2 linked regions of the Schizosaccharomyces pombe genome follow. The protein of the gene in region 1 interacts with the protein of each later gene in a pairwise test. Each region holds a gene or a part of one and is shown in the gene's direction. Other genes may lie near its edges.

The links.
Region 2: the proteins of plc1 (region 1) and rad25 interact in a two-hybrid assay, tested with the Schizosaccharomyces pombe proteins (one study listed by BioGRID).

The regions. Positions count from the first base shown.
Region 1 is NC_003424.3:4,804,163-4,813,842, forward strand, and holds plc1 (phosphoinositide phospholipase C Plc1), read left to right. Parts: upstream 1-3,408; 5' UTR 3,409-3,623; coding exon 3,624-6,323; 3' UTR 6,324-6,607; coding exon of another isoform or gene 6,608-7,105; 3' UTR 7,106-7,393; downstream 7,394-9,680. Other genes in the region: rRNA processing protein Rrp16, read left to right, coding at 1-331; putative U2 snRNP-associated protein Sap145, read right to left, coding at 468-2,225; histone H2B-K119 ubiquitin ligase complex (HULC) subunit Shf1, read right to left, coding at 6,608-7,105; CCR4-Not complex subunit Caf16, read left to right, coding at 7,937-8,060, 8,140-8,259, 8,305-8,903; formin Fus1, read right to left, coding at 9,063-9,680.
Region 2 is NC_003424.3:3,582,567-3,586,841, reverse strand, and holds rad25 (14-3-3 protein Rad25), read left to right. Parts: upstream 1-2,000; 5' UTR 2,001-2,062; coding exon 2,063-2,129; intron 2,130-2,846; coding exon 2,847-3,592; 3' UTR 3,593-3,714; downstream 3,715-4,275. Other genes in the region: vacuolar CorA family magnesium ion transmembrane transporter Mnr2, read right to left, coding at 1-407; rrp1 (ATP-dependent DNA helicase), read right to left, coding at 3,926-4,275. UniProt on the Schizosaccharomyces pombe protein: Acts in cell cycle and stress checkpoint signaling by sequestering signal transducers regulated by the checkpoints. Required for the DNA damage checkpoint that ensures that DNA damage is repaired before mitosis is attempted.

The DNA.
Region 1 (9,680 bases):
ATCCAAAAAACTGCAGCAAAAGGATAAAGCTGAGAAATTCTCTAATAAGGCTGTTTCTTCTAGCACAACTGAAATCAAACTGAAGAAGAAAAAATTCGGTAAACATCGATTGCCTAACAACCCACTTGAAATAAAGTTGGGAGATGAGCTGACTAGTTCCCTTAGAGAGCTGAAGCCTGAAGGAAATTTGTTTGCCGATCGCTATTTAAGTTTACAACAAAGAGCAATGGTTCCTCCATCTTTGCCAGTATTGAAGAAATCAAAGTATCGTGCAAAGATCAAGGAAAAATATAGTCACAAAGACTTCCATCTTCAAAAAAACAGTATATAAAATATATTTTAGCTAGGGTATAAATTGGGGTTTTTTTTATTTTCACTTACAAATAATAATTAATACTTGAATAATGTATGGAGCTTAACAATAATACTGTCATATAGATTAACTAATGTACACTGTAGATAATAATTTAAAGACGAAACTTGTCTCTCTTGCTTTGTGTTTTCTGTCGTTTCGCAGCACCAACCTTCATAGCCTGCTCAGACACCAACTCCGAAAGCTCATCTTGCCAATTAGAACTTTGATTTAACGCAACATCTCCTTTGTTGGTTGATGAGAGCATGGAATGTGCATTCCTTTTTTGTGGAAGAGTATCTTCAGCGGTAGGAATGTCGTATTGATGCTGAGGACCCATGAAACCTGAGATATTAGTAGATTTTTCAGGTAAAACTTGATATAAGTCTCGATTAGCAGCATCACTACTTGGTTGAGTATTTTTTCGTAATTCAACATTGTCAACCTCTACATTAGATTGATTAAAATACGTTAAGGGCTCTGCATGCAAATCTTCCCTCTGTGACCTAGGCTCTGACGCTGACTGATATTCCTCAATCGTTTCACGTTCAGTAATTTCTTCAGTAGGATATTCTACGTCTTCGCTCTCTTCCTCTTCACTAGATTCTTCTTCCTCAAACTCCTCCAATTCACCCCAATGCTGAGTGCTCACAGGCGAACCTGTACCAGCATGTATTCGAGGTTTGACATTACCAAACACGTCGCCATAAAGAGGACGATTAAATTGGTCCACAGGAGGTTTTCCCCAACCACCAGGATGAAATCCCCACTGCGCTCCAGTCGGAATTGGACAATTCACACCGGGAATTTTAAGATCTGGATAACTTGGAGGAGGCCCGTATCTCTGCATAGCAAATAACCAAGGAGGAGGTGCTCCTGGAGCAATTCCCAAGGCTTCACGGAGCTCCTCCGAAATGTCGCCGGGCCTCTTTTCTTTCACATCAGCTTCTAATTCTTTTCCTTCAAAATAGCATTCGCCAAAACCGGTTAGCACCGGTTTTGTTTGGTAGCGAAAGAAGGCATCATGAAGCTTTTGATAATCAATGTCAAGCTTTCCCATTTTTGGTTGGACACGCTCACGCATTTTTTGACGCAAAGGCATATCAGCTTCATTTTCATGCACAGCATTACGCATTTGAACTATGCCAGTAGCACGAATATACGAGGGTAACTCGAAGAGTTGACGTTCTATACCTCTTTGGCCACTCAAGTAATCTCTTTTTTGGTTCCAATGACGGGGAACAGGAACAGTATTAGGATATGCTTTTAGATGTGTGAGGAATAAAGGATCAAGCGACGAAACATCCCACCATTCGACGACATCTGCTTTCTCGGAGAGCATCTTCAGTTGAGCAACAGTCATCCTTTTTAACTTTCTCAATTTCTTTTTACTAAGTTTTTCCTCCTGTTGTTTTTGTAAAGCGTCTTCTTCGCCTTCACTCAAAATTTCATCGTCAGAATACATTATTTGGCCCTTGTCGGTATCTTCGAAATCTTTTTCTTGACCATCAGCTTTGAAACGATTAAAGACATCTTTAAATTGCTCTATTAGCGGATCATTAGGATCTAATTCTACAGAATCGACGATTGTAGTATAGACCATCCCGTCAACACTATCAGTTTTGTTTGTATCATAGAAGTTTCCATTAGATTTTTTATCATTGTATAGGTTGTCATTATTTTCAGTCAACTGGTCCTTGTCATCACTATTTTTTTCTGCCAATTTAGCACCAGAATTTGTCTTTTCACGTAGTAATTTTTTTTTCTCTCGACGAACTTGGTTTCTGCTCTTTTTATTTTTTTGCTTATTATTCCTCTCTAAAATTTTCTCCAGTTCCTTTAAAGGATTTTGAGCTGTCTGTATTTCAGCCATTAACAAAAAATCTAAGCAACAATGCTTTGGACGTGTCAACAAGTACATGCATGGAGCGTATTAACAAAACACTACCACCCAAAAAACGAGTATCCTCCTTACTGAAGATTTTTTGTAAAAAAAAATACTAGCAATAGTCATGATGAACGGGTCCTTATTCTTACTGTAATTAATAGAAAATAGTTGAGTTAACGTGTAACAATATATTGCAATAATAAAATGCGATAGTAACACTATTTCCATGAATTCCAGCAATACACAACAACTTCTTAAAACATTAACATATTATTAAGCTACTGTAATTCTTCATTCCTATGTTGTAAATAAGGTTCTGATTGTTTCCATTAAAGACCAAATCGATTTTATGTTGTTTCAAGCCTGCAAATACTATGAACACCTTATTTGCAATCTGGAATTTTTCGTTCTTCTCTATAAATGGTTGTGAAGTCGCCTTTAGGAGTTAACCTTGCCAAATTTTTTCAATAAACTAAGTACTGCTTCAAACGATTCTCAAGGTGTTGATGCTTTGAGGTTACCTTCTAAGTTACTGAAATGGTAAGTATTAGGGTTTGATAAAATAAAAATGACTGTCGATATGCACTAGTTTAATTGCACCAAGTTCTTGCTCTATCAGAATTATTTGGATGAGAGTTTAAACTAGGCCATTAGACTATGTTGACTGAACACATTATAACTTAGAAACGTTCCGAGAAAATTATCTACATTACTTTTAATCGGGAACAAAATAAACCAGTATAAGAAATAAATGTTTGAGAGGCTATTAATTTCCGACGATATTAAACTTCATTCGTTAACATGAACAGTGAGTTCCTTATGAGCAATCGAATATTTAGTTACTAATTGATAAATTAATTTTTCTATCATCACTTTAGTGTAAAATAAAACAGAAAAAAACCATTCATAGTAATACTCAGAGAAATGGCTTTTAATGAGTGAACAAAAACGCAGATCAATTGAATAAAGCCCAACGGTTTTCTCGAACTCGATTGTTTGCAATTCATCTTAGTGATAGTCACAGCGTTTCCGATAATCGATTTTCTGTGATTGAACACGTTCTTATTCATAATTGCGTATTAAACCAAAGCGCGCTTGCCACTAACGTTAACAAAAGTCTCGGATGTAAGCTCCTACGATATAAGAGGTAAAAGTTCCGAAAACAACTAATTTTTGTCCCTATAATAATATCAGGCTTACTTGATTTAAAGTGGTGGATTGAATCTATGCTCATATGCAATTTTGAGTGCTATCCACTTATCTTTATTGACACATACACGGCGTATTGTTGCTGAATGAAAACCGAAAAACCGAAGAACTTTTAAATATCAACATAATGATCAAAAAGCCAATGGCGGTGTAAATCCTTAAATAGATATCATAATGAATTGTGAAATGGTAACGTCGCCTGAATCGGTCAACTTAGGAGACTCCAACAGAGCAGTAAGTCCATTTTGCCTGCCCGATTGCTCAGAAAACGCAGTTGCTCAGACGAGGAGTAAAACCTTAGATAATGCTGCTTTGGATCTCCCATATGTTGGCAATAGGAAGAAATCGGAGCAGGATTTCTTTAAGATGCTATCATCAAGGGATCGCGATGCTCATAGTACTCTACGTAAACGATCAAATTCTTTATCTTCTTTTCTGAGTACGAAATCGACATCAGCTTCAGAAAATAAATTCCATGGAGGATTGAATTGGCTTTCTCTGAAGTTAAATCTTTTGCTACGCTTGCAAGGTCGAATGAATTCTGCGAGAACAAATACTTCAATGAACCCTTACTCATGCGATAGTAACGAAAACTTATCTACTCTGAGCTCGGTGAATCAAAACTTTAATTCTCGACAGCTATTAGCTACTATAGTCCCTGAATCTATTCAAAACGGATGCTCTTTACTTCGTATAACCAAGAAAAAGGTGCGCCAACGTAAAGTCTCTTTAGACCCTATATCTGGATATCTTATGCTGGACAAGAATACTGGTAAAGCTTATAAGAAGCTTTGTGTTGATGACATTAAAGAAATTCGACAGGGCCGCGATGCTCGTAATTATAGAGAACAGTACAAAATTTCTTCTGAGAACGAGAAACGCTGGTTCACAATTATATATTGTGCTGATAATAAATTAAAGGCTATGCATATGATATCTCCAACTTTAGATGCGCATAATCAATGGATTATGGCTTTAGAAGGTCTAAAAACTTATCGATTGAATGAATTTATTATTGGACTTAATCTCGTTTGCCATCAAGGTGAAAAAATGATAGATTATTCAGAGAATTTAAATCCCTGGGAAAAGTTAGAAAAGGAGCAAAGTGCACAGTTGGATCTAGGAGACGTGCATCGCATGTGCCAAATGCTACATTTGAATGCATCAATGGAGTTTTTAGAAGAAACATTTCAAAAGGCAGATGCTGATCATTCTGGAAAGCTAAGTTTTGAAGAATTTCAGCATTTTGTAAGCCTTTTAAAAACAAGATCCGAGATTGTAGATATTTTTAAAGAATATACATCTGGCTCTGACAAGATGTCTTTGGAACAGTTTCGTCACTTTCTATCAACTTCTCAAAAGGCTCGTTTGGATAGTGACTCAATTAGGACTTTGTATGTCTCTTTTTGCTCAAATGATGATTCAAAAATGGGTTTGATAGAATTTACTTCCTTTCTACTTTCTCCTCATAATTCTCCAGTAGTTCCTGTGATACAAGATATGTCGCGACCACTGAATGAATACTTAATTTCTTCGTCGCATAACACTTATTTACTAGGTAAGCAGTTTGGTGGAGAAAGTTCAATTGAAGGTTATATCCGTTCGCTACAGCGTGGCTGCAAGTGTATTGAAATCGATTGCTGGGATGGACCGAATGGTCCTGTAGTTTGTCATGGACATACATTTACTTCTATGATAAAATTTAATGATGTTATTGATGCTATACGAAAATATGCTTTCGTCGTTTCACCTTATCCATTATTCATTTCTTTGGAAATTCATTGCTGCCCTGACCAACAACGTCAAATGGTTAGTTACATGAAACAAGCATTTGGGGATACTTTGGTGATGAAACCCGTTACCGCTAACGAATCAGTTCTTCCTTCACCCGAAGATTTACTGAACAAAATTTTGCTGAAAGTCAAATGTTCAGCAACACCATTGCACCAATTTTCGACAGACATACTGAAGGTTGGGATAACTGATTCTTCGACTGATACTACCGAATCATCGGAGCTAGAAAATTCAGAATTAACAGGGTTAAGGAAAGGTAAAAGACGGATGAAAAATATCATTGTGCAGGAATTGCAACAGCTTGCACCTTATGCCCGATCATTGAAATTTCGAAATTTTTCTTTACCGGAATCAAAAACGTATAGCCACATATTCTCATTTTCGGAAAGGACTATAAAAAAGCATGGAAAAGCTATGGTTCCAAGACTTAGCAAACATAATTTACGCTATTTGTGTCGTGTATACCCTGGCCCATTGAGAGTAGGAAGTACAAATTTTAATCCTCAGGTGTATTGGCGCCTGGGTGTGCAAATGGTTGCTCTAAACTGGCAAACTTATGATACAGGTCTTCAAATAAATGATGCTTTGTTTATAGCTGATCCTCCGACTGGGTACTTGTTAAAGCCACCTTGTCAACGAATAATTGGTACAACAGTTGGCGAAGAAGGACTTCCTCGTAAAATAAAATTAACAATAGATGTCATATCTGGGCAACAACTTAGAAGAGCTAGAGAACTTTCTAATTCTGAAACTCTCAGCCCTTATGTTGAGATCCAAGTTCATTCAATGGAAGAATCTCCTTTTCGTTGGTGTTCCAAAGTTGTGCACGAAAATGGATTTCGACCTTTTTGGGGAGAAACCATGGTTTATGAGAGTATAATTAGTGATGACTTTTATTCCATGATCCGATTTCTCGTCCATCATCGAGGAAGTAATGGAAATGACTCTATATTTGCTAATTTTACTTGTCCGATTGACAGACTGCAACAAGGCTATAGACATATTCGTTTATTGGATATGCAAGGCGAAAATTTGTTATTTTCGAGTTTGTTTTTGAAAATTAAAAAAGAAGACATTTAGAACGCTGTGTCCATTACAGCACTTTCACCGTAATGAAACTTCAGAAAATCTAAAATGCATATTATACGTTAAAAGGGAGAGAACCGAAGTAGTCTGAGAATGTTTAGAGTGTATGAAGCGTTTTTTTATTTTTATTTTTTTTTTTTAAAAAAAAAAACGCTATACAAAAACATTCATGTTTATAAATATGGGTTTGGGATAAAACTTTCAATAAAAAGTCATAATAATATCCACAAAGCGGAAGCTCAATGATTTGTACGCAGACGATGATTGCAATAATTTATTTAGAAGCTGACATTATTTACAAAATCGTTTAAGCTTTTTACAGCTGCATCACTACGTAGACCTTCTCGGTATATATCCGTTCTAATTTTTTCCCAAAAATGTACTTGTTGAGCGTATTGTTGTTCGACATTCAATAAACTCTGGGATGAATTCTCGCACGCAGACTTGCAGCTTTGAAGTTTACTTGACAAACTCGAGTCTGGAAGATTAATCTTCGGCAATTCTACATTCGTATCCGTAGAAGCTGCCCCAAAAGACGCTCTTGTTGAATTATTGCTAGGGACTCTATAATGATAGGGAGAATTGTGTTCCTTGGAATTTGTAGATGAAGAGGGTGAATCATAACTAGATCTGGGTGTTTTTGTTCTTTGATGGTAGGATTGTCGGCTCCTATAACTAGATTCATAAAAACTGTTTTGATCAACGTTTGATTTCAAAGGACTACGATACTGGTGGTCGTTTCCATCATAGTGGTAGTCATTTCTTCTGCTGCTCATTAAAGTGAATAATTAAGTGCTGATATTAATGGTTCTTTTTTTTCACGAAAAATGTACACTATCTAATTAAAACAATTGGTTAAAGAACCGAAAAATAGTAATACTTAATTCAATTAAAATCACGGTGTGAGAAAACGGTTTGAGGTAAGACTATTTTACGTACCGCGTTATATAAAGCCCTTCGCCCATATCGATGTTTGTTTGTTGTTTAATATATTAAGTCTAATGATATGGGCAATACTACGTTGAAAAGCTAAAATCGTTTAGCAGGAATGAAATAATATTATATTTATATTTTTTTATTTGAGAAATGTCCGCCTGCTGTTAAAAAATTCCATGCGAATGTTAGGTTTGTCTGTTGTCTTAAACGAAATGGGGTGACCTTAGGAAAGTATTATTACTTAGTTTTAAGCCAAATAATATGTAGCATAAATTGTAGTTGATTACAAATGTTATCTGCTTCTATCTCCTATATATATTGTTTGCCAATTGTTCCATCGATGTTAATCATTTTTCTTTCCAAGACTCCGCAGGATGTGTGTTCAAGGTCTTAATAGCATCTCCAAATATGGGCAGCATTACTTAATAGTTAAAAAAGGTTCTTTACAAAGACTTGGAAAGCTAATTTATTAGTACGAGGTCTTGCTTATAACAACTTTACTGCATTCCCTCCACACTTTACTTGATACACAGATGTACTAAACACAATCCAGCTAACCCACAAAGTTTGAGTGTTATTTAATTTGCGCCTTTTTTTGGATCCTTTATATATTGTAAAACTAAGTTCTTAGATAATTATATTTTACTACTGTTAAAACATTCTATTTCAAAATGGAAGTAACTGTTTCAAACCTCTCTTACACGTTTTCTCCAAAGCAGCCTTTAAGTCTTGATCACGTAACTTTAGATCTTCCTAAAGGATCAAGGACTTTACTTGTTGGAGCCAATGGAGCTGGTAAGTTTCGCGGTGTTATGGAAATTGATGAAGAATATTTAAATGCTAACTGATGTCCTCTTGGAATTTTGTTAAACAGGAAAATCAACTTTACTTAAACTTTTATCTGGAAAATCGCTTGCGAAAGCAGGACATATATCGGTGGGTGGTAAAGATCCTTTTCGTGAGTCTAGTTCTGCATTTGTTTATTTAGGAACTGGTAAGTTCTTTTAACATCAAATTTTACTGATGTGTGCGTTTGTAGAATGGGTTAACAACCCTGTTATACATAGGGATATGAGTGTTGCACGATTAATTGCTTCTGTTGGAGGAGATAAATTTGCCGAACGTAGGGATTTCTTGATTTCAATTCTTGATATAGATCTTCGTTGGCGAATGCATGCAGTGTCCGATGGTGAAAGACGACGTGTTCAACTATGTATGGGACTTCTGCGTCCATTTGAAGTACTTTTACTTGATGAAGTAACTGTAGATTTGGATGTTCTTGCCCGGGCAGATTTGTTAAATTTTTTGCAAGAGGAAACGGAAGTAAGGAATGCTACTATTGTTTATGCAACACATATATTTGATGGTTTAGCTGAGTGGCCAACTCACTTGGTCCATCTCAGTCTTGGGCGTATCGTGGATTATGGACCAATATCCAAGTTTGGTGCTCTGATGACAAGGTCCTCTACGGGAAATAGCGCCCTTCTAGAGACATGTTTGGAATGGCTCAAAGAAGACAAAAAAAATAGGGGAACTCGAGAAGAGGAAAAGCGTAGTACCTGGGACGACGTTCAAGAATCATTAAAAGTTGGAACTGATGTATTTACTGATTACTTTAAGATTTCCCGAGCAAAATAGATTACTAGAAAAGTTATCCTTTAGATGCTTAATTCTATCTTTAACAAGCATTACAGTCTTACTAGAATTAATAATTATACCTTTTATTAATTATAATTTCATTATAATTTGTTTAAGTCATTTAATTGTCATTAAAAGTCATTAACATTTCAAACATCATTATCTCTTAAGTTCATTGTTATTCTCCAGCTGCTTAAGCATGCATTCAGCTTTAAGGACGACTGTTTGTCTCTTTTTATTTGAGCCTTCTAGAGTTTGTTTATCATTTTCATAATTCATTAGAGTTTCGATTGTTTGTTTCGATGATTCAGTGCAATCGGTTTTGTTGCTTAAAGAATCATCACACAAACCTTTCTGTAGCTGAGATATTAAATTTTCCATTGTTGCTGAAACTTCCTCATTCTTTGAAGAACCACTATTTTCTGCATTATTGCTTTTAACAGATGCTTTTAAAGCTTGTAGTCTTAGAAAAGCAAGTTCTTCTTCCTTCTCCATCTTCTGATTTACAGTGCTAGCCTTTTTGTACTCCAGTATTATTTCGTTTAAATTATTGAAAAACCTAGCACTCGATGTAGGTTCATCTGGATTTTCACCATACATTAAGAGAGTTGTTTTAAGGGTTGTTTTTAGTTCAGTAATATCAGAATTAAGTTCATCCACCATTGATTTTCCTGATGGAATCCATGGAACCATGACTTCACAGATATGGTCATCAGGATGAAGAGCTTTATGATTCGAAAAAATGCCTTCATTGCTAAAGTCCTTTTCAACATTTTT
Region 2 (4,275 bases), 1.2 Mb from region 1:
CTTGTATTCTTCCCATTTTCCGTCTCAAATTCTTTCCTTTGAATGTCCTCTGGATGGCTTTCCGGCAGTGATATATTTTCGATGTCTTCATCGCTTTCATAGTGACGGTGTGGACTTTTCGGGGAAGAACAAACAGAACTAGGCATTGAAGGAGGGTTATTAATATCCTTGTCATCTTCCCCATTACTTGAATGCTCAGACGGTGGTTCTAATAGATCACTATCACTGTTTCCCAATAATCTTGTTCCCTCATCCGCTTCGTCTGGTTGCAAACTAGGGTCCACTGGAAATCGATGTTTAGATTTACTCGAGTGTTTACGATCAGAAAATCTAGGCCTGTTCTGCATCCTAGCATTTTGTTTGTAATAAAAGCCCGTAGGCACTGACCGGGATGTATTGGATGGCATAATTCAAACAGGATTATGGATGCTAAGAATTGACAGGTTGTATAGCAATGAATGTATTATTCTTGGTTTATCAAAATAGTTATAATGCCAAAGAGATCGAATAGCGTTTGGTTTAACAAACTAACGGTTTGTGGATTATTTATATAATTACTCTATTGGTGAGAAAGAGAGGATTTCTGCCCACATTTGATTGAGAGGTTTGAATTTATTAAAAATATTTAAAGAATAATTTCACAAAACTCAAACAACAGAGGAAATGCCAATTTTTAGAGATGTGTTGTTGAGGTGTGGCAGCTAAGACGCTTATCATTGATATGGAAGGCAATTTTTTAAAGACCCCCAAATCATATACCAGACAAAATACAGTATCTTTAAGCATAGTTTTGTTTAATTTCATCAATATTTTTGAAGTGTATTTGTAAGAATCCAATGCAGCATAATTAAATTCATTTCCGGCCTACACATATTGAACCAGGTTCAAATTGGTGCAAATTAATTATTTTCTTGTAAGGATGAATAGAATTGGTTAGTAAATTCTGCTGAAGTTGCACATAAGAGGACGGTTTTGTTTACTAGACAAAATAAGTACCGCGACTTATAAAAAATCTTATCCCAACCAGATTGTCCCTTGTAACAATTTAAAATCCTACTTTTCGTATTACCGCGCAATCAAGTTGCCCACAACGGGACTGCAGCATTGCAGTAGAAACCCCATCAAACGTGTAAGTGAAATGAGCGAACAATAACCCTGAAATTATAAAGTCGTATTATCTTGTTTAAATCAACTCATACCTTTTTCATATAAGAATATCGTATTGTTTCAGGATAACAGAAACAATTTCAGGGAAACTTGAAAGGTTTATGATAAACGCAGTATGCAATTTTAGAACAACGAGAATTAAAAAACTTTACATTTAAGCCAAGAAGTATTAAGTTTAAAATACACAAGTTGAAGGAGCAATTAATCAGCACAATGTAATTTGATCTTTTTTGTTCGTAAAATTACCGTTTGCGGTAATCACCAATCTGTGATGACAACGCCGAAAAGCAGCTTACATAATAACACACACTTTTCAGCTCACTGTACTCCTTTGTAGTCAATGTAATATAATGGAATTTCGCCGCCTCCTACGGATATTCAAGCATATCGCATATGCCATCGAAAACTAAAGAAAAACGCCTTCTTCTTGAAGCTTCCTGCATAGAGTGATAAAAAACCTTCTAAAACTTCTTTGCCCCTAAAGTAAGCCTCTTGTTTCTGTCAAGCTTCCTCAATTATTGCACTCATTGTTTTAACTGTAATCTTTCACGCTTATGTTTGATACTTGGTATCTTGTTTTCGAAAGAAAAACTTATTGTAACATACTTTAAGACAGCAATTCCTCATTCAGTGAGTAAAAACGCGTTTTCTACCGAATTCCTATTGACACTGGGCATTTGTTTGGCATTTGTTTTTGGAAGCCTAATCATACGTGTAAGAAGTATTTTTACGATATTGTAAAAGAATAAGAGAGGTGTAGTGATGTTTCTGTTAGATATCCATAAATCTCAGTATAGTCCGTCATATATTCGGCTGACCAACCAACCTTCCCAACTTTCCTTTCTCACTTCTACCAACCTCAACTAACCACCGCTTTTAATAATTCCTTGCAAATATGAGTAATTCTCGTGAAAACTCGGTGTATCTCGCCAAGTTGGCCGAACAGGCTGAACGCTACGAAGGTATGTGATAAGGATCCGCTGTTGGAAGTAGATATAGCGTAATAGTACGAAATTGTCAATGAAGGGACCTTGATGAAAAGTTATTATATTGCAGTTTGCTACTGTATGTGGGAGTTCTTTGGTTTTTTAATATTGTTGGTCTTGAACAGGTTGCGTTGTTGAATGTTGCAAGGTTGTTTGTTTGATGCGGCTGAGAAAAAGAGGGGTTATGGGTTAGTACGTGGATGACTTGTGTATTTTAAAATGTCCCCAAAATCGCTTGATGAGGTTTAAAATGAGTTCTTACAACATTGTTTTGTTGTTGGACATGTTTATGATATCTGAGGTTATGGACAAGAACGGCTTGCAATTCTCTTGATTTTATGGTTTTCGTAATCATTATTTTTTGTCGCCTTTGTTCTATTTCCTACCTTGCTTCCTTTTTTCTCTTAAAACCACGATTGAACTGCCTTGATTGTCTTATCATTCTTATCTCCTCTTATGATTTGAGGTTTCTTTGTAACCACCAAGACAAAGAAATTCACTAACATCAGGAGTAACACGAAACACCGTTCTGTAGGTAAACCTCAACGCAATTAAGGATATTATTACCTTCATATCTTCACCATGCAATGATAACTCGTTTTGAATTACTGTTTGTTGACCCGTCTATACTTGGCTTTGCTTCTTTCATCTCTCCTTTTTGTTTTTGCTTCTTTGCTAACTGATAATGTATAGAAATGGTCGAAAATATGAAGAAAGTTGCATGCTCAAACGATAAACTTTCTGTTGAAGAACGTAACTTGCTTTCTGTTGCCTATAAAAACATCATTGGTGCTCGCAGAGCATCATGGCGTATTATTTCCTCTATAGAGCAAAAGGAGGAAAGTAGGGGCAACACTCGACAAGCCGCATTGATTAAAGAGTACCGTAAGAAGATTGAAGATGAGTTATCCGATATTTGTCATGACGTCCTTTCCGTCCTTGAAAAGCATTTGATTCCTGCCGCTACAACCGGTGAATCCAAGGTATTTTACTATAAAATGAAGGGTGATTACTATCGTTATTTGGCCGAATTTACTGTTGGCGAAGTTTGCAAAGAGGCCGCCGACAGCTCTTTAGAAGCTTACAAGGCAGCTTCTGACATTGCTGTTGCTGAGTTGCCTCCCACGGACCCTATGCGCTTGGGTTTGGCTCTCAACTTTTCCGTCTTCTATTATGAAATCCTTGACTCTCCAGAAAGTGCATGCCATTTGGCTAAACAAGTATTTGATGAGGCCATTTCAGAGCTCGATAGTCTTTCTGAAGAATCTTACAAAGACTCTACTTTAATCATGCAGCTTCTTCGCGATAACTTGACTTTATGGACTTCTGACGCCGAATACAACCAGTCTGCTAAGGAGGAGGCTCCTGCTGCCGCTGCTGCTTCTGAAAACGAACATCCCGAGCCCAAAGAGTCTACGACTGACACTGTTAAAGCTTGAAACTAAAGCGTTAGCATTTTATCAGTAAACGGATCCTAATGGTCTGATTACTTTTGCATATATGAACTGATACCTATGATTTATCTAATATTCGTAGCCATATAACAAAGTTATCTTCATTATATTCTTCTTGCACTTTATTTCTATCATTTATAAATTTATAACTTTGATTACGTTTCATGAGTAGTTAGTTTGGCTTTGTGGCCTTAAAACCATCAAAGCATACTATTATTATACATTGTACATGCGTTACACTACACCACCCCTTTTTTTAACGTTTAGTTTAGTATGCAGTAGAGTATAGTTCATTTGAGTAACGTTAACATTAAATAATCATGAATTAAGCCCAAATAGATATAGCAACTCTTCTTTGTCAAGTCTCGACAGAGGATTGTTTTCGTTTGAATCCAAAGCTTCTTTAACCAATTGACGCTTCTTACGTTGAACACTGACGATACGCTCTTCAATCGTATCTTTAGTAATAAACCTATACACGGTGACAGGCTTCTGCTGTCCAAGCCGATGAACACGATCTATTGCTTGATCCTCTATGCTCGGATTATAAAATGGTTCCTGTAGAATAACGTGATTTGCAATCGTCAAATTCAAACCCACGCTGCCGGCTTTCAATGAAACCAGCATGACTAAAACATCTTTATCGTTATTAAAAGAATGTAGGGACT